Stegostoma tigrinum: one gene and its partner. The protein of the gene in region 1 interacts with the protein of each later gene in a biochemical or structural test. Links are inferred from orthologs where the notes say so. Each region holds a gene or a part of one and is shown in the gene's direction. Other genes may lie near its edges.

Region 1 (10,877 bases):
TGGGGGTGTGTGTGTGGTTGGTGTATGTGAGGATTGGGGTGTGTGAGGTTGGGTTGTGTGTGGGGGTTGGGGTGTGTGTGGGATTGGGGTGTGTAGGTTCAGGGTGTGTGGGGGTTGGAGTGTGTGGGGGTTCAGTTGTGTACGGGGGTTGGTATGTGTGGGGTTTGGAATGTGTGGGGTTTGGGGTGTATGGTGTTGGAGCGTGTGGGGGTTGGGGTATGTGTGGTTGGGTTGTGTATCGGGTGTGTGTGCGTGGGATGGGGTGTGTGGGGGTTGGGGTGAGTGGGGTTGAGGTGTGTGTGGGTTGGGGTTTTTGGAGTTGAGGTGTGTGGGGGTTCGGGTGTGTGGGGATGGGGTGTGTGTGGGGATGGGGGTGTGTGTGGGGGTTAGTGTGTGTGAGGGTGAGATGTGTGTGGGGTTGGGGTGTTTGGGGTTTGATGTGTGTGGGGTTGGTGTGTGGGTGTTGTGGTATGTGGGTTGGTGTGTGTGGGGATGAGGAGTGTGTGGGTTGGGTTGGGTTGTGTGTTGGGTTGGTGTGTGTGGTGTTTGATGTGTGTGGGGTTTGTGTGTGGGTGGGGTTGCTGTGTGTGAGGATCAAAAAGTAGTGATTAGCAGTTCAAATATCTACTTTAAAAATCTTGCATGTAATGGCTACCCTCTGCAAGTTGATCATTCCTAATACTTGGCCAGCTCAGCAAAAGCTGTGGGAATAGTTTTTCAACAAATTAGTAGGAGAGTTTGATGATTAATGGATGATTGCTAATTCTGAAAAAATGTGATTAAGGTAGGATTGTAGGTTAATGATGGGGTTGGTTGTTACCAGAAATAAAAGGGACAAAATGTATGAATGCCATATTGTACCAAAGAACCATAAAAGTGCTAGGAAATTCAATAAATGAACAAACTTAAAGGATTTCTAGCTTAATGCACAAAGCATTTGGAATAAGGTGGACAAACTGACAGTGCAAATTGAGGTAAATGAATATGATCTCATAGCCACTACAGAAACATGATTATAAGGAGATTAAAACTGGGAACTTAACATTTGGGGTATTCGATCTTCCGGAGAGACAGAAAGGAAGGGTTAAAAAGGTGATGGAGAAGCTCTGTATTTAATAAATGAGGTGACTTGTGAGAGATGTTCTGGGCTTGGATGATGTACAGTCCATTTGGGTGAAAGTTAAAAAACAGCAAGGGAAAGAAGAGAGAGATAAACCAACCATGGTTAACCAAAGAGTTGCAGAGAGCATTAAGTTTAAAGAAAAAGAATGTAGGGAGGCCAAAGTCAGTGACAGCTGTAAGGATTGAGATGGATTCAAAATGCAGCAAAGGAGGATTTAAAAGATAATAAAGACAGTGAAAATAACCTATGAGAGCAAACTAGCAATGAACAAAATGTGACAATAAGAATTTCTATAAATATATAAAAAGGAAAAGAGAGGTCAAAGTGAATATAGGACCCGTAGAAAATGAATCTGGGCAGATGGTTTTGGGCAACAAGGAAATGGCAGAGGAGTTAAACAGATATTTTGCATCAGTTTGTATAGTGGAAATTATATCCAACATCCCATTAAAACTAAAGAACACAGGGAAGGAAGTAAGTACCATCACTATCACTAGAGAAGTAGTATTAGACAGACTAATGGTGCTATAGGCCAGATAAGTCCCTGCCCTGATGGCTTGCATCCTCAAATCCTAGAAGATATGGCTGCAGAGATAGTGGTGTATTGGTTGTAACTTTCCAAAAGATTCTGGAGAAGTACCAGAGGACTGGAAAACTGCTAACTTGGCACCCCTATACGGAAACAGAAGGAAGCAAAAAGTGGATAACCATAGACTGATTAGCCTAACATCTATTGTTGGAAATGTTTTGGTATCAACTAGTAAGGAAGTAACAGCCAGACATTTAGAAAATCATAATCTAAACAAATAGAGTCAGCATGGCTTCATGAAAGGGAAATCGTGTCTGACTAACTTATTAGCGTTCTTTCATTAAGTCTCTACCATATTGGATAGAGGGGCACCAATAGGTGTGTTGCATTTGAACTTTCAGAAGGCGATTGACAAGATACCTCACAAAAGGTTAAGACATGAGATAAGAGTCCATGGTACTGGAGATCGTATTTTGGCATTGCTAGAGAATTGGCTCATGGGCAGGAAACTGTAACTGGGAATAAAGGGTTTTTCATCAATTTGGTGACCTGTGACAAGTGGGGTTCCACAGAGATCAGTGCTGGTACTGCATCTCTTTACAATATAGCTTACTGATATGGTGGAAGAAAATAAATGCACTGTAGCCAAATTTGCACTTGTTGCAAGAATTGTCAGAAAGGCAGGCTACGAGAGGGATATAAACATTTTACAGAGAGATATTGAAAGGCTAAGCAAGTGAGCAAAAAGTTGGCCAATAGAGTAAAATGTAGGAAAATGTGAAATTGTTCATTTTGAAAGGGAGAACTAAGGAACAGAATGGGAGGAAACTGCAGGAAGTTGCAACACAAAGCGGCCGGAGGTTTTTTGTGTACAAAACACAAAAAGCTAGTACACGGTGCTGCAGGTATCAGGAAGGCTAATGGAATTTTGGCCCTTAATTCAAGATGGTTAGAGTAAAAGAATAGGGAAATATTTCTGCAACTGTACAAAGTGCTGGTGAGCCCACATCTGGAGTACTGAGTTGTTTTGGTCCCTCATTTAAGGAAAGGTATCATTTCATTGGAGGCAGTTCTGAAAAGGTTCACTAGGATGATACCTAGTGTGGAGGCATTGTCTTATGTGCAAACACTAAACAGAATGGGACTGCACTCACTAGAGTTTAGTACAAGGAGAGATGATCCAATTGAAACATATAAGATTCTTAAGGAGCTCGACAGTGTAAATACTGAGAGGATATTTTCCCTCATGAGAAAGAACCAGAGAACACAGTCTCAAAATAAAGAGGTTCCAATTTAAGACTGAGATGAGGAGGAATTTATTCTCTCAGAGAGTTATTCCAGAGATAGATTCTTGATCAGTAGGGGAATCAAAGGTTATTGCGAAAGGCAGGAAAGCGGTCATGAGGAATGTCAGATCAGCCATGATTCTACTGAATGGCAGAGCAAATTCAAAGGACCAAACAACCTATTCCTGTTCCCACTTGTTATGGTCTTATGGTCCTTTAAGGAAGGAAATCAGCCATCCTTACCTAGTCTTGTATATATGCAATTCCAGGTCCACAGCAGTGTGCTTGATTTTTAATGGCAAGCCATTTAGTTTAACGGCAATAAATACGCACTTTGCCAACAAATTCCATGTCACATCAAAAAATGAACAAATGAAGTGTTGCTGTCTGTTTTAACTTTTCATTATAAATGCTGTGTCATCCTTAACATTTAATTTTTGTGTCTGAGTAGGCAATAGAACTGGAGAACAGTCTGATTGCTGTAGCTTTGATTATGAATTTGGAGACATGCAAGTCCTGTCCTAGTCCAACCCATTGGCTGTCACAGAGGCATTGATATTTATTTTACAGAACTAAGCACAATACGAAACTTTATTGGTGATATTTGATCTCAAAACATCTTCAAACAAAAATGCACTGCAGATAATCACTACTGTATTGTTGTCAAGTAATTAAGAAGTTTTCTCTATTAAAAGCTACTAACTCTGATAAACAATAATTATTTAGATCTGACGTACCTGCTTTGAATTTTGAAAACAGTTCTGGGAATTTATCTTCTAATATTGCCAAAACGCAAGATTTGACCCAAAAATCAACCTTGAAATATGTAATTTAAGGATTTGCATAGGATCTAATTAAAGCTGGAGTTGGGAAATATGCCAGAAACAGCAGCAGAGAAATTTGCTGCTGTTTTTCCCGTTCAGCACATTTCAGGAAAACATGTCAATCACATTATTATAAGCTTATGAAAAAAAATCGAATGGTGATATCTGCTGAAAAATCCAGGTCCTACTCAGAATTTCAGACTTTCATCTTCAAAAGTTTGTATTCATGGTTCAGCAGCACATGTTGTCTTCTGTAGAGATGCCATACAGCAGCTGTGGCACTGAGGAGTCAGGTTTGCCAGGATCGGCACAGATAAACTCCAGAACACAATCAAACAAAAACGCTGTAATTGCTAGACATCTGAAATGAATTCAGAAAATGCTGGTGATACACCCCAGATCATACCTCAGTCTGCAAAGAGAACAGATAGGTTATCCTTTTGGTTTGTGGTCTCTTGTATAGGATTTAGAATCCATTTCCAGGGAATCTTTCCAGCATGAGAATGAAAGACAAAAATGTGATTGTGACACCCTTGTCAAGTGAGCTGTTATGAGATAAGAAAACGGGAAAGAGAAAATGAGAAGTGAATGAGAAAGAAAGCAGAAGAGATAATTTAAAAAATGATAAAGTTGGTTATTTTTGTCTTTTTGTCAGTAAACAGCATTTATTGTCCATCCCTCACTGCCCTTGAGAAGGTGGAGGCAAGCCCCCTTCTGCAACAGTTCATGAGTGCACAGCCTGTGTGTTTTCATTGTTGAGTTAAGTTCTGTTATTGAGGAAAGCAGAGCTCCATGCTCAGTCTAGCACTTAAACACATTATGAAGCAACTTCCAGCCATCAATAACAAATGTAATTATTGGTGAGATTTATCCAGTCATTCAGGTTTGTTTAGATGAAAGTTTCCATTGAATTTGACAATGTAGTTTTCTTCTGACACTGACTATATTAGAATGGGTCAACACACAACTTTCAAATGATTTCTTAGCAGTGATCATTTAAAAAATGGTCCAAATGGATGAGACTTGGTCACAAGTCAAAGACTGAGGACGATAAGACAGTGGTAACAGCAGATTTGTAATGGTGTCAGTTTTCTTTTTATAAATGCCCTTATAATGTCATAGAGACTTACAGCACAGACAAATGCCCCTTCGCCCATTACATCTACATTAGTCAAAAGCAACCATTTAACTATTTTTACAGAGATAGTGGGAACTGCCAATGCTGGAGAATCTGAGATAACACGGTTTGAAGTTGGATGAACACAGCAGGCCAAGCAGCAACAGAGGAGAAGGAACGTCTGACGTTTCAGGTCGAGTCCCTTCTTTAAGAAGAAGGGTCTCGACCCAAAACATCAACTTTCCTGCTCCTCTAATGCTGCTTGGCCTGCTGTGTTCATCCAGCTTCACACCGTATTATCTCATTTAACTATTCTAATCCCATTTCCAGCATTTGGCCCATAGCCTTGTACGTACTGACATCACAAGTACACATCTAAATAGTTCTCGAATGTAACAAGGGTTTCTGCCTCCACAATGCTGACAAACTGTGAGTTCTCCATTCCCAGCACCCTCTGGGTGAAAATGATTTTCCTCACATCTCTTCTAAACTTTAAATTGAGTTCCCTGGTCATTGATTTCTCCATCAAGAGGAAATGTTTCTTCTTGTCTGCCCGTTCTATGCCTCTAATAATTTCATACACCTCAAATCAGGCCCCTTCTCAATCTCCTCTACCCTCAGGAAAACAACCCATGTGTCTTGACTCTCTTCATACAAGAAATTCTTCACTCCAAAGGCTAAATCTCCTCTGCACCCTCTCCCATCACTATGATATTCCTCCTATATAACATGGATTTCTGCATTGCATGCAATATGCTATCTGCAGCCAAATCATGTTTTACATAGTTCCAACTAACCTCCCTGTTCTTAACCTTAAAGGACTGTATTGTCTCTCTTATGTTCAGTCTTATGCAGCAATGGTGTACATGCACTCCAAGGTCCCTTTGATTCTCAGCGCTTCCAGTACTACCCATCATGTGTTTCCTCACCTTGTTTATCCTGACTGAGTGAATCACCCTCACATTTATCTGGATTGGATTCCATTTGTCTCGGTAAGGGAGTTTTTGTGGTGCACTGGGAATACCCCTATCTCTGGGCTTGATATGGCTTGGGTTCAAGTTCCAACTGCACCAGAGATGTGTCATAATATTTCTTCTCAGATTAATTTTTAAATACCTATGCGATTGTTAAGAGTGGGCAGCAGATAGGTGGCTGGCCTCATGACTGAAAATCTGGCCACAAGAGCCAAGTACTCTGCTGTTGCTCCCAGCCACCATGTTTTTGATTTTACCTTGGGTACAATGACATTTCTGAACATAGTAGCATTTCTGACACGCACTATCAAAATGGCTCCGATTTTGCGACAGAAATTCCACGGCAGCCCTCCAGGAAGGCCGAAACAAACATTGCCTTTAAGCGTCCTTTGTCCCGACCACCTTTAAGAAAAGGCCGTCATTACTCTCCCCGTCTGGTAGTGAGGCTTTGACGTCAGCACGTCTATTTCCACTGAAACTCAATTGGAAGTGCCGTGAAACTGATCAAGTGGGATCTTTAGCTAGGCTTTTAAAAAAAGGGAGATTTGGATTTTGATCGCTACTTCTTGACAGGAGGTGTAGCAACTCGGGGGATTTGTGAGGTTTGGTGATCCAGCTACTTTTACTGTCTCTGGTGGCAAGTCTGTAACTTGGTGTTTGACAAAGAGCCAGGGGTTTGCTCTGGGTTACAAAGTATCGAGCTCCGATGTAACAATGTTGTCGAACGTTGCGACAGCCAGGGATCCGCAACAAGGTAACCAGATCCCAGAGCCGCCGCCTCCGGCTCCCCTTTACCCTCCTCCCCCGGCTCCCTTCCAGCTACAGAGAACCGGCGCTCAGACCAAGAAAAACGCCATCACCGACGACTACAAGGTCACGGCGCAGGTTCTGGGACTGGGCATCAATGGCAAAGTTTTGGAATGTTTTAGCAAGAAAACCCAGGAGAAATTTGCCTTGAAGGTAAGTTCCAACGTCGAAGTTTGACAGCGGACTACTCATGTTATCCGCTCGATCGACCTTCTGTAAACATAGTTTGAAGTAAACTCCCTAATGGTACGGAGGTTGGGGGGTTTGTTTGGGGGGGGGGCGGTGTGTTCTGTCAGACAGAGTCCTAAAACGTAGAGTTTAGAATGTTTCTAAAGGATTTTATTAAGCCGGACTGAATCTACCCGTCACTGTAGCTTCCTAACACAGGCGTGGAACTCGTTCTGAAATATCTGGGAGAATTGAAAGGTGAAAAAAATCATCCCTCTCTCAGTCGGGCCTAAAAGGCTCCCTAAAACTGGGAAGAGAAGCGGTACGGAGACTTTGAGGTGGGAGGCTGAGAAATTGTGCGGCAGGTGGATTTCCTCCCAGACCCCTGTATTTGAAAACTGACTGACTCGCTTTTATTTGTTTGTACTGCTTTGTCACACTGAAACCTCTCACCGGAACAGGCTCCCTCTTCAGATACAAATAACAAAAAGGCGGTGTGGGGGGCTGCATGCTTTGAGGACAATACGGACCACCCCCCCCCCCCCTCTCTCCGTCACCACCAGGATGAGGAGAGTATTGGCTCTGTGTTTTTCAGTCAGCGAAGTTGCCCATCTGCCATTCCCGGCGGTCCTGCCGTTTCGGAATCCTTGTTGTGGCGGGGGGAACTGTTCAGTTAACAACGTTCAACTCCAGTATCGACAGACAGATGGTCTTTCCTTCGAGACTTCCCCGGTTTCGGGAGTGTAATAAGTTTGTCATTTCAGTAACACGTAGTGTTTGGTATTGTAGCTGGCTTGATGTATAGAGATGGAGGTGAGGACGGACGATGATTACTTAGTACCGAGTCTTAGGGTCGTCTCGCATGGGAGAGACGTATGTTGCATTCTCCACCCACCTCTTTTTCCCCCCCCCCCCAAACACACAAATCTCATGGTTTGTTTCTTAATATGTGGCGGATCTTGGGAAATAATTCTCCCTTTGCACGTTTGCGGGGTGTGAGGAAGGGAATATTCATCCATCGGTTATCACTTCTTTATTGTGAAAAAGATTTACAGCGAAACTCCTCGACCTGCTCTTTGAACGCACTTGAAGTTTACACGGATTTACCAACAGCAAATGCTGTTTGCACGAGGTAAACAGCATGTCTCCGACAAATTTCCGATGGAAAAGTGCTGTCATATTTGTGTACTGTTTTGACTATTCAGGAGACGAGTTGATTTCAGCTTCTAGCCAGGTTGTGGTGCGTCAGATATTCTTGAATTATGTCTCTGCGTAGATTTGTGATAGTTCGCCGATTAACCCCAAATCCCTGAGACTGCTGGCACTGAACCAGAAAGGCCTTTGGGACGTGATCTTGCTCATTTCTCCTGAGAGGCACAACTTGCCGAAAAGAAACTTGAGCATTGCCAGCACTTTTGTTTAGTGGAAATCTTGTACATTATATTGAGTTTAATGTTACTCAGTTGGCATTTTTGTGTAGGCCAGCTATTATTCTAAGCTACTTGCTGAATTTGACTATATTTTAAGAGAATCAGTCTACATTTGTGTCTGTTAGCTAAGGTTATTGTTAATTAAGATCGGAGATAGTCAAAGCAACGTCATTAACTATGTGCGAATATATTGATGTCCCTGCATGTCCTAAATTTTCCCATATGAATTAGGTGGTTCAGTTGTGTTTTAGACACGGCAGTTAGGAAGCATTTTCTGTGGGTCTCCGTGTTCATCTTGGAAAAATAAACAAAGCCTGTATAAAACATTCTGATGGACTTGGCAGAATCCATCAGCGGGGTTGGACTGTCCGCTAGGGACTGCATTGTTGGGACAGTTTATGAAGTTCTTACTGTGAGGCTTAGTGACACAAAAATTGTGCTTTGTTCACCATTATCTGCTGATTCAGAAATGACCGACCAAAGTGAAAGGATAAGAATAACCGCATAGGATTCTGGCGAGACTGAAAAGGATAAAACCTAAATAACAGGTAATGCTGGATACACTCAGTGGCTCAAGGTGGCATTTGTAGAGAGGGGAAAAATTGAATAAATAAATACTTCAAGTTACTGACCTTTCAACGCCCACTGATCTGGGACAAGTCTGTAAAGCACTGAGGTAAATGAAAAAGTAATGATTCACTGACTTTAATCAGATACTTGAAGGTATTAAAAGGGGAAAATCTGAAGTAGATGGGTTTGCAGGGTGAAGTCTTGGTTGAAAAGTGAGTTCGCCCAGAAGACAGTGCAATAATTCTGGAATTGTGTCAGAGAAGGGATCATAATAACGTATTTGGAGCTTGGACCAAACAAGAGAGGCCAGCTTAAAAATTGCAATTGTAGGAAAAGCCACAAAACATAACATTTTATGTACAACTGATACTCAGCTTTAACCTTCTACAGTGTGTTGCAAGATGACTTAATTCCTGAACATTTTTGATCTTAAAGTAGCGTTCAGTGTTAACAATTATTTTCTTTAAGAGTGCAGATTGCTTTCTATATTGGAAGTAGTTTGGCTTAAATTGAAGGACTACATAAAATCTATTTTTACTTAAGTAATTCTGCATGGATGAAATTAATCCTCTTCCACTATTTGTTATTGATATAGGAAGTGATTTGAGTTACAGCTTGGATCAATGCATTTACATGCTTTTTCAGGCTCACTACTGTGTAGCTGTTTCCATGAAACTTGCAGTATTCATGTGGGAGTTGACACTTGCATTTTCATGAACTGTGGTTGCATCAGGTTTGAATGAATTCTGCTTCCTATTTAGATGTTCCAAAACATGACTCTTCAATAAGTAACTTTTTAAAGTATGTGCAGAACAAGTTCAGTGTTATTTTAGATGATACTGGAGAAATCAAGGATGCACCCATAAGTTTTTATGAAATTATCTTTAATGTTACAGAGCACAGCTACTTCAACAGCAAAATGTCTTGCATTTTTGTCCTTTAATAGAACTACAATCTTGTTTTAAAGACTTTAGATCGTGTGGAGCAACAAAACACTGCAAGTGAGCTGGAGGAGCTAAAAGCAAAATAGTGTAACTGCTGGACATCTGAAACGGAACGTGCTGAAAACACTCTGAAAGTTCAGCAGCATCCATGGAGAGAGAAAAGCAATTTAAATTTTGGATCAATAACTTTGCATTAGAGCTTGCAGGTGATAGTGGGTGACTAGGTGCCATAGATGAAAAATAAGGTGTCGTCCACTTTTCTGAAGAAGGGTCTTGACCCGAAACAACAAACTTTCCTGCTCCTCTGATGCTGCTTGGCCTGCTGTGTTCAATCAGCTTCACGCTGTGCTATCTCAGACTCTCCAGCATCGGCAGTTCCTACTATCTCTGTCATCCACTTAAGGCAGAGCTGCATAATTAAACAGTTGATCAAGGCTTTAGAGTTACCCCAGGCTGGTACTTTATAGGGAAGTACTGAAAATGCTAGAATTTTGAAATACAATACCGGAAATGCTAGAAATACTGAGCAGATCAGGCAGTATCTGTGGAGAAACAGCATTTAATATTTTGTGTTGAGTCCTCTGTTTTAATGAAGGGTCATTGTGTTAATTGTTAACCCTGTTTCTCTCTACATGTACTTTGGAATATTCCAAACATTTTTCATTTTGTAATGACCAATGTATGTCTTCCTGCCCAGAGTTGATGTTCACTGTAGCTTTGTGTGTAATGTAAAATATTTATTTAGCAAAGCCAGATTAGTTTATAATTCTGAACTTAGAAACAAGGCAGTAATCATCACTCAGATATGCAGACAATCAAACAGGAGTAACCCTCAGGAGAATCTGAGATAAGAAGGTGCGGAACTGGATGAACACAGCAGGCCAAGCAGCATCTTAGGATAAGGAAAGCTGACGTTTTGGGCCCAGACCCTTCTTCAGAAACGGGGGAGGGGAAGCGGCTCGTGAAATAAATAGACAGAGAGGGGGAGGCAGATAGAAGATAGATAAAGGAGAAAATAGGTGGAGAGGAGACAGACAGGTCAAAGAGGTGGGGATGGAGCCAGTAAAGATGAGTGTAGGGGGGTGGGGGGAGGTAGGGAGGCGAT
Region 2 (9,923 bases), on another chromosome or scaffold:
ATCCGTTCCATGGGATACCAGCTTGTCTGATGACCCAAAGTGGAGGAGGGATGAGCAGATGAACTTACCCTGTTCACTGGGCACTCACTGTCTAACTAGGCTCGACGGCCAGTGATCAGGAGTAGGTGGGGGTTGGGGGGGATCCCGGGGAACTGAGACCACCCTTCCTTCCGCTCCTCCGTCATTGTCCAAGGAGTGTGGGGGAATAAATCCCTCAGGGCCATCGGTCCATGCCTAAGTTGGCACAGGAGGAGGCACCCTCCCACCTCCGGGCCTGTTTCACCACTCAACCCTACCCATCAACCTTTGCACCAGAATCCCTCGGAATCCGTAACAAAAACCCCGAAAGACCTGTGGGTGCTGCAAATCGGGAACAAAAACAGAAGTTGCTGGAAAAGCTCAGCGTCTGTGAAGAGAAAAAAAAAGCAAAAAAAAAGAAAGTCAGAGTTAGCGTTTTGATTCTGGGTGACCCTTCTTCAGAAAAGATGGCCGCTACCTTCCCAGCCACTGTCAGTTCCGAGGGAGGGTCACCCAAACCCGGAACGTTAACTCGGAATTTTTTGTCTGTCTTCACAGATGCTGCTGGACTGGCTGTGTGTGCTTCTCCAGCAACTTCTGCGTTTGTCCCTCGATATCCTTGTCCGCCCATCCCAGTGCCCGGTTAACTCACCTACACTCTCTGGGGGAGAAGAGTGCACCACTTTCCCACTGCCCCTTCCACGTCTGATTCTGTTCTCTATGGCCGAATTCTAATTTTAGGATTGACCACGCACCTCGCCCCCCCCCCCCCCCCCCCCAATAACTCACCGTCAACGCCCCCACCCCGTCCTCAGGTCAGCAAACCGCCCCGCACCCTACCCAACCACAGGAAACAGCCTTGCTCACCTCACACCACCAGTTAAATAGAGCATCAGTGGGCGCATGTCGCCTACCCATTACATCATCATGAATAGCCAACCCCTTGCTCTTGGCACTGACCGTCTTCCACCGGGCTTGTGGCACTGTGGGCGATTTCCAGAGCCCTAGGCACCGGACGGGATGTTGGGTTGAGCCTGCAGCTCAAGTGGAACAAAAGACTCAACCATTGCAGCGTTTGTACAGTAACCTGTGAGGTGTTGCATGGGGCTGTGGAAACACAGTCGAGTCACCCAGAGCTTGGGGAAACTTGTTACTCTCACGGTAACAGAGGCAGGAAGTGAGCAGTGATGACTCGAGACACCAGCTGGAGGTGGGCCGAGGAGGCCAGAGGTGCAAAGGGAGGTGGGTCAGTCTCTGATGGTCACCGCAGAGGAAATGCCCACTTGCCCCGAGCCTGCTTGGGCTGTGACCAGGCTTTTATTGCTGCCAGTGTGCCTGCCAGCTGGCAGAAATCACAAGCATCCGTTGCAGCACTTTGCGGAGTTTGACTCAGGCTGGCATACCCGTGCTCGCCATCCGAACATGACCAACAAGGTCCATGTGCCATTCTGGTGCCCGCTGAGCTATAAAAGGGGCCTGGGACGGGAGGACTCACCTGCCAGGCATTGCTGACAAAACGGTTCCCAGGATCTACACCCTGGCAATGATGGGTGGAACTCACTCTCCTTCCTCTGCCTTCTCCGTGACCTCCCCACCCCCCACAACCTTTCTCCATGACCTCCCACCCACCCCCCGCCACCTTGCTCCGTCTCCCTCTCAGTTGCTGCTTCCTCCTTCCGGGAGTTGGGTGGGGGGGAAGCATTTCCACTCTCGAACACTCTTCCCTTGTCTCACTTCCCTCACCTCAAATGACTGGCCTGAATCCAGCTGCACTATGTATCTCAGGGGCCTCCCTCCAGCCTTAGGCCAGCTATTTTTTCTGGAGTGGGATTAGATGGTCTTTGCTGGCTTTCTCCCTCTCTGAGCAGACTTTTCATGTGTTTGTCACTAGACAACGCCAAAGACATGGGATCAATTAAAATAAAATGCCAAGCGGCAATTTCTCCCTCTCAATCCAGGAGCGAAATTCTATTTGTAGCCCAAGAAGGGGCATGAGTATCAAACTTCCAAATTTAGCCTAGAGTATCCCGAATGAAGATTGATCTCTAGGTCTCCACTGCAAGCCATAAGGGTACCGACGCATTGTATGTGTGCCCTCGTTGATCAAAACATGGTCAAAGACACAAGATGCTTCAAAGGATTGCAACCAACAAAATGTGACGTGGAGCCTCAGACCAAGAATCTGGTGAAAGGTGTAGGTTTTTAAGGCGTGTCTCAGGGGAAGAGGGAAAGGTGTGAAGTGAGAATTCCATGGCTTTCAGGCCTTTGACAAATAGGTGAAGCAGAAGAACTTGCCTAGACCCCAAGGCCTGGGAAGTGATGATGACCCTCCGTTACGAGCCCTTCCACTTATCTGGGGTGAGTCATGAACAGCTGATGGAAAGTTGAGACTTCCTAGCAACGTTCTCTCTCTTTCATGGTTTTTCCATTCTCCCTGGAAAGCTCTGCTCCCCCTTGATCCGTCCTGATGGCCTGCAATCCAGACCACACAGCTGTAACAGGCACAAAATTCCAGGAATTGGGAAGCAGGAAACAAAGCAGAAAGCAGCCCGCCTGATCACTGGCATCAGTGCCTGAAGCAGGCCTACACTAACCCTTGACCAATGTTAAGTTAGTTGTCATGTTCGTTTTTCTTGAGTAGAGGGTCGGGCTGGGTTGGGGTGCATGTGTGGTGGTGTTTTATGTGTGAGGGAGTATGTGTGGAATGTTTGTATATGTAAAGGGGTATGAGGCGGGAGTGTGTATGTGAAGGCAGTGTGTATATGTGAGGGGTATATGTACGTGTGTGTGTTGGGGGTGTGTGTGTGAGGGGGGTGTGTGTTTGTGCGCGCGCGTGTGTGTGTGTGTGAGGGGTGTGTGTATGTGAGTGAGTGGTATGTGTGTGTGTGTCTGTATGTGTGTGTGAGGGGGGTGTGAGGTATGTGTGTGTGTGAGAGGGTGTGTGTGTGTGCGGGCATGTGTGTGAGGGTTGTCTGTGTGTGTATGTGAGAGGGGATGTGAGGGTGGTGTGAGGAGGGCGTGTGTGTATGTGTGTGTGTGAGGGGGGTGTCTGAGGTGCATGTGTGTGAGGGGTGTGTGTGTGTGTGTGTGAGAGGGGATGTGAGGGTGGTATGAGGAGGGTGTCTGTGTGTGTGCGTGTCTGTGTGTGAGGGGAGTGTCTGATGTGTGTGTGTGTGTGAGGGGTGTGTGTATGTGAGTGAGGGGTATGTGTGTGTGGCACGGGGGTGTACAAGCTGTTGAAATTTATGCCATGCATTATTAAGGAGGCACACCACACCACAATGTTACTTCCTAATACCAACCTGGTGATGAGATACAGCTCTTCCCTGGTCATGGGACCTTCACTATTCCCTGTCAGTCTGCCCACTCTTCCTGATCTGGCTCAGAGTCCAACTATAGCCCGACACCCCTAGGACCGTGAATGGAAGTGCACAAAAATGTGCATTCCTCTAGCACCTTCCACCACCTCAGGATTTCCCCTAGCATTTCACAACCAGGTTTCGAAGTTGGGGGGGGGGGGGGGTGGGGGGTGGGGGGGGAAGGGCAGCAGGGCAAGCTGAGCGCAGCAAGATTCCACAAACAGCAATGCGATAATGGCACCCGATGAGTGATTTAAAGCTGACAGCCTGGGGTGACTGCTTCGCAGACCTGGTCCTGAGCTGCTGGCCACATGCCACTTTAATTCACTCTTTGCCTGTCGGGCTGCCATGTCTGTCCAAGGCCTGTTGCAGCCTTCCAGCAAAGCCTGACGGAAGCTGGAGGAACAACAACTTCCCCACCCCGGCCAAATTTTCCAGCTGCCAACCTCCATCGTTGGGTTCAGCTACTTCAGACTGTGAACTTGGTTGCTCCATTTTGAGCTTCTTTTGTTTTTTGCTGTGAGCCAGTTTAAATCTGGTTTTTCAAGTTCTTGCTTTTGAACAGAGGCATTCATTATTCAACTGTCCACATTCATGCTGGACAAATGATTCATTCCATTAGTGCCACCATTACCACTCCCTTTGCCTTTTAGTTGCTGTTAAATTCTACCACTCTACCCCAGAAATTGCCCTATTGCTCGATCTAGCCCTGCCCTCTACCACCCCCCAACCAGCTTTCAAAGCGCACCACATTTGTGAAGGAGGGTCACTGTACTCAAAATGTCAATTCTGTTATTCTCTCTCTCTCCCTCTACAGACGCTGCCAGTCCTGCTGAGTTTCTCCAGTGCTGTTTAAGAGTTAGATTTTATTGTGCTCAAGCACAGGAGTGCATGAGTATAGTTGAAAAGGGTACAGAGTCACCAGTCTCTGGTGCCATTTGGTGCTTTCTGTTTTTGTTTCAAGATTTTTGGCAGTTCAATGAGATCATGGCTCATCTGCGGCCTAACTCCATCTAACTACCTTTGGCCCGTGTAGAATCCCTATGCCTGGCGTGCATCAGCCCTTCTAGCCTACCCTGTACCTGTAACCCAGCATTTCCACACCCAGCCTGCACCTCCCTGGACACGACAGGCAATTTATCATGGCCAATCCGCCCAATCTGAACATCTTTAAGCACCCGGAGGAAACCCACGCAGACACGGGGAGAATGTGCAAACCCAACACAGACAGTCGCCCGAGGCTGAAATCGAATCCGGGCCCCTGGCTAACCAGTGTGCCACCCTTACACCTTTGCTCAACAACATTTTTAAACATATTTTAACAACAATTTGAGATCGGAGAGGCCAAGGGACTGCTGGGATAGTGTTTAAGGCAGGGACTGAAAACCAAACATTAACTTGAAGCAAGGGCTGGATAGGGGACAGGGGAGGGAGATAAAGAAAGCGGCGTCTCCCCACCACCTCCTCCCAACTCCCACCCCCCAAGCAAAAACTGAAAGCATTCCTGTAGAGGGTCCCAATTGGAAGTAGCACAAAACGCGGCCTGGTGGGGAAGGGTGTGGGGCTTGTTGTTTACAATGCGCCAGTGCAGGAAGTGGTGGGACCTCCCCTCCCTGCAGCCCGGCAGAGAGAAAACCAGTGTGATACAGCCTCCACACTCCCATACAGCACATGGAGAGAGAGGCGCCAGCGCTAGGAGCTGTCTCATCCCCCTCAGATGAGTCTAAAAACATTGTCTGGGGTTTGGCGCACCTTCAAAACATATCCCAGTGGCCGCAAAGGTAAATAACTTGTGAAGAGAAGAACGAGAACTTTCAAAGGGGAGCCCCTGTCCTGACCTCTGTGGCTATTAGGGATTTTGTTTTGCGGGAAAATAACTTGGGTTGGGGGAGGGGAGGAAAACTTGTAGAATTGCTTTTCCAAAAATAGAAGATGAATATTAAAAGAGAGAGAAAGCAAAGCGACAGTATTCTAGCTGTTATTTCGCGGGTGGATAGTGTCAACTATCTGCTGATTCAGCCACCACGTGCAAATAGGATTGAGGAAGGTTTGGTGATTTGAGATCTGAATGGATTCAGTTCCTCTCTCTTCGCCACCCCCTCCCCCAAGACACAGTCGCACTGTTTATAATGTTGAACCCTCCGTTTTAAAATAGCCACAGCGCTGAACCACACCACATCTCTATTTTTCCCCCCCGATTCCAGTTTCAGTATTACTTTATTTTGCCGAACTTTTTGTTTTACGAAAGGTGGGGGGGGGGATCGAGAGTCGCTGTAAATCGTTGAGCTTTGGAAAATTGAAGAAAAAGCGCATGACGGGGGGGGGGGGCGTTCGCTGATGGATCCTGAAAAAAACCAACATTAGGCGGATTCACTCGGAACGAAAAGTTTAAGGAAAAAATAGCTTAAGCGATACCAATTAGAGTGCGCTTAAATAAGGGGAGGGAGGAGGAGAAAACTATTTAATACAAACCCCTGCACTGTGTAGGGAGTCACATAAAGAGAGGGGGGTGAAATGAGATTTTTTTAAAGGTGGAATAAAAAGGAAATGTTTCCTAAAGGGGGAGGAATGAGGGAAACGTCTTTTTTATAAAAGGGGGGAATTAAGAAAAACATGATTTTTTAAAATGAGAAGTCAAACTTTGTTTTCAAGAAGGAATAAGAAAAACACAGAAAGTTGACGTCAGGAGGCGCTTATTTGGCCTTCTCAAACCGAAGGGCCAACGTATTTTTATAAAGCCCTCTTCTCTCGTTTCATTCTTATTTTCTTCTAACCCCCCCAAAAAAAACTCAACTAAAAAGGCTCCTTTAGCGCCATGTGCTCTCTCCCGCCAAAACCCGTTGTAACAGACATGAAATTGCAACCATCTGTTACAGACGATAAGCCGCGCACAATGCAAATCATTCGGAAACAGCCAAAACACTGCGAGTCGACGTACATTTAAAAAAAAACACTATTAAAACTACGCTTTTTTAAAAAATTAAAACAGCCATTATCTGAGTGGCCGCTTTTAAAAACACGTTTTGAAACAGCGTTGCACCCTTTACCAAACCCGCTTGAACCTTGTGCAACATATTGCGGGGCACCACATTTCACCGCCCCCCAAATGTTTGATCCAGAAAGTTTTTTATAAAACAACGCATTCCTCCCCCTTGCTCAAACATTTCGCAATGGCTTCTTCCCGATCCAAATCCCTTTCTGAACTGTGCAGCTCGCTCCAAATCCCGCCCAAAACAAAAAAAATCCAACAGACTGAAAACTACCAATTAGTTAACTTCATTGATGTTGTATGATGTAAAATTTTAGTTCATTTAACAAACAGGAGGGTGGAAAAAAACACCTTAACAAACTCGTAAAGAGGAATTTTATATATATATATATAGAGAGAGAGAGAAGAGAGAGCGCCATGTAAAAAGTTTTAACTTGGATTTGGTGGGAAGGCGTTAATTTTCCTTTCTCGCTCTGTGCTGCTTGGGTGCAGTTACTGTCAGTCAAAGAGATTTTTTCAAAAAAAAGAGCTCGCAAGCCAGGCTGATTTAAATACCAGGGATCCGCCTACGGGGGGAAGGGAAATTATTTATGGGTGATGTCGGACTGCGAGTTTTTGAAAGTCTGCGGGGCGAGTGGGAGGCTCGCAGCACACACACACAGGGAAAGGAAGAAAATAATAGCAGTCGGAGCTTCACTGTAGTTGGGGAGTCGATCCGATCCGTCTCGCCCCGCCCCATCCCCCGGCTTTCACAGCCGTATCGACCTGCTTTTGCTAACCCGGACACCTCGACATGTCTACAAAGTTCACCTCATGTTTCTACGACATTGGAGAAGTTTTATGCAAGGTAAAAAGAAGCACGCGCTAACTTTTGTTTTGAGTCGCCCTCTGTGTGAGTGTGTGTGTGTGTGTGTGAGAGAGAGAAATGGTATTAATTATTCCAGCAAGCACGTTGCAACTTTCTCAGCCACTCGATCTACCGATGGCTTTCTTCATTTCTCTCGCTCTCATTCTGCATTTAATCAAACAATTTTGTGTGGACGTTTTGGTGTAGCCACCTTTCTGAGCAAAGACTCCCGGAATGATGCCTTAAGATGAGAGAGTTTTAATTCTGCTCTTTTTAAAAACAAAATTTAAAAAAACTTGACGGCTGATTGCGGATTTCATATCCTTAACGATCCCACCCCCACGCCTGCGACATTAGAGATTCCTGCGTGTTATTTTTTTAAATGGACTTCTTTTCTGGCTGTTTGAATTTGGCTGTATATTTTGCTCTGTCCTGTTTGAGGCGGTTTGGTGGAACTTTCTTTCCTGTTTATCTGTTCTATATTTTAACCCATTATGTAGTGCTTCTCCGGGTGTTTGTTTTTGTTAAATTGGTATTTTAAAATAATTTCGGGTGGCGATGGAAGAGAAGGAGGAGGAGGGTGAGATTTCTTGATTCCAGATCAGGCATGTTGTTTTGGGAGGGGGAGTTCTGATTTGGAACGTTGATACCCCTGATTTGGAACGCGCCAAGATTCTGATTTGGAACTTCAGGAGTCCCCACCCACTTTTTTTGTTACTTCTGTTGCCCCAGTTTGGCTTAAAAGGGGCATCAGTTCATCCTGGACACTCAGACAGAGAGAGCCCCATCGCTCTTGCTCTGTGTACCCATTCGCCCACCCCACCCCCCCCTTTAAATAAAGGTTAAGTCTCTCGCCTCCCCTCCCAAGAAGGCGATTAGTACCAGGAATTACACCACTGAAAGGTGTACAAAAAGTGGGAGAGAGGGGGGGGAGGCTTATTGGGAAGAGGGTGTTAGGGAGTGAAATCTCGCCGGAGCACACTTATCAACTTTCTTATTTGTTTCTGTTACTTCCATTCAAGTTTCTCCGAACATGTTGGAAATGGGGCATTATTTGGATGTGGTATTTATGAGTGGAACACTGTTATTTTTGGTAAGCTGTGGGGAGGAGAGAGTGGTTCTTACCTGTCAATATTGTGACTGCAGTGGTCAGGGGATGGTTTGTTAGTGGACTGTGCTCCAGGAGTGAGCATGAGTTGGGGGAATGGGGCAGGGGAGCGCCTACAGGGTGCAGCGCTGTGTAATGACCCCCCACCAGTAACTTGCCCTTTGTCATTTGAGTTGCCCCAAGGAACATCGGGGGGGGGGTTGGTTTGCGGGGGACAGTCTCATTGGTGCTGACTACTGCCTGGTGAGCCACAAGCCCATCTCTTTGCCTGTTCAACGTAAACAAGTGTTGCTGGCTGTGACGTCAAATTCATTACCGTTCTCGCTCTCTCTCTCTCTCTCTCTCTCTCTGCCCCATAATAGCTATCAGTTACGATAGACTTCAGCTCAGTTCCTTTAGGAGAGGGAAGACCGATGACGATCTGATTAAATCTTTAAAAGTCCGAAATGGTTGGACAGGATGGAGATAGAGGATGTTTAATTGGGCTAGTAGGGGAATCCACCTCCTGGGGCCGCAAATACAAAAATCACTAACAAAACCATTACGGAATTTGAGAAAACGTTCTGCACCGAGATATTGACACTTAGTACCTCATGGACTGGTTAGGTTGAAGGTAAACTCTTTAAAGGGGATGAAGCGTGTAGGCGCCTTTTTAAGGGGGTGAAGTGGGTAGGAAGATTAATGCTGGTAATGGGGAGGCTGAGATTGGATATACAACTTGTATAGCAGGCTGGGTTTTTTTTCCCCACTCTTGTCGTGTCTAAAGCAATCGTTTTGCTTTCTGTCCTCGCCCAGAACAAGATGATTAGCTACAACAACAACATCAACGCAGGCAGCTCAAGTGTGCCCCTGCTGGACAGGAAGGCAGTCGGGACCCCGACACTGATGGACTACCAGAGGAGACATTCTGTCGCCCTTGTCAACGCTAACTCCAAGTTCAACCAGAACCAGCTGCTGAACAGCTTCAAGCTGGAGCAGAGTGGTAGCACTGCCGGGGCCAACAAGGAGAACAAATTCCGGGACCGCTCCTTCTCGGAGACGGGCCTGCAGAAAGCCCAGAGCCAGGTCAACTCCAGCCGCTACAAGACAGAGTTGTGCCGCCCCTTCGAGGAGAATGGCTCGTGTAAGTACGGCGACAAGTGCCAGTTTGCTCACGGCATCCACGAGCTGAGGAGCTTGGCCAGGCACCCCAAGTACAAGACTGAGCTCTGCCGCACCTTCCACACCATTGGATTTTGCCCGTACGGCCCTCGCTGCCACTTCATCCACAACGCAGAGGAGAGACGCCTGTCCCCCGTTCACGACCAGCAGCATCTCCCACTCTCCTCCTCCAACAAGATCGACCGGCCTCGCCTGCAGCACAGCTACAGCTTCTCTGGCATCTCCAGTTCCTCCAGTGGGCTGCTGGGCAGCCCCACTTCGATCACCCCTCCGCCCATTTTCAGCTCTGAGGACCTCAGCTCCTCCCCCACATTGCCAGACTGCGCCAGCAACCCTTTCACCTACTCGAGCCAGGAACTACCCAATCTGTTTGCGCCCAGCATTGGCATCCAGGTTCCCATGACCTCCGCCAACAATGGCGCCCATTCGCCTTCCTTCCTG

Evidence for each region.
Region 2: of the proteins of MAP kinase-activated protein kinase 2 (region 1) and zfp36l1a, one has a biochemical effect on the other in vitro, tested with the Homo sapiens proteins (2 studies listed by BioGRID). The link is inferred for Stegostoma tigrinum from reciprocal best matches to the Homo sapiens genes MAPKAPK2 and ZFP36L1.

What each region holds. Positions count from the first base shown.
Region 1 is NC_081374.1:17,685,227-17,696,103, forward strand, and holds the start of MAP kinase-activated protein kinase 2, read left to right. Parts: upstream 1-6,311; 5' UTR 6,312-6,567; coding exon 6,568-6,813; intron 6,814-10,877. UniProt on the Homo sapiens protein: Stress-activated serine/threonine-protein kinase involved in cytokine production, endocytosis, reorganization of the cytoskeleton, cell migration, cell cycle control, chromatin remodeling, DNA damage response and transcriptional regulation.
Region 2 is NC_081363.1:80,870,193-80,880,115, forward strand, and holds the start of zfp36l1a (mRNA decay activator protein ZFP36L1a), read left to right. Parts: upstream 1-5,727; 5' UTR 5,728-7,159; coding exon 7,160-7,213; intron 7,214-8,594; exon of another isoform or gene 8,595-8,934; intron 8,935-9,116; coding exon 9,117-9,923. UniProt on the Homo sapiens protein: Zinc-finger RNA-binding protein that destabilizes several cytoplasmic AU-rich element (ARE)-containing mRNA transcripts by promoting their poly(A) tail removal or deadenylation, and hence provide a mechanism for attenuating protein synthesis.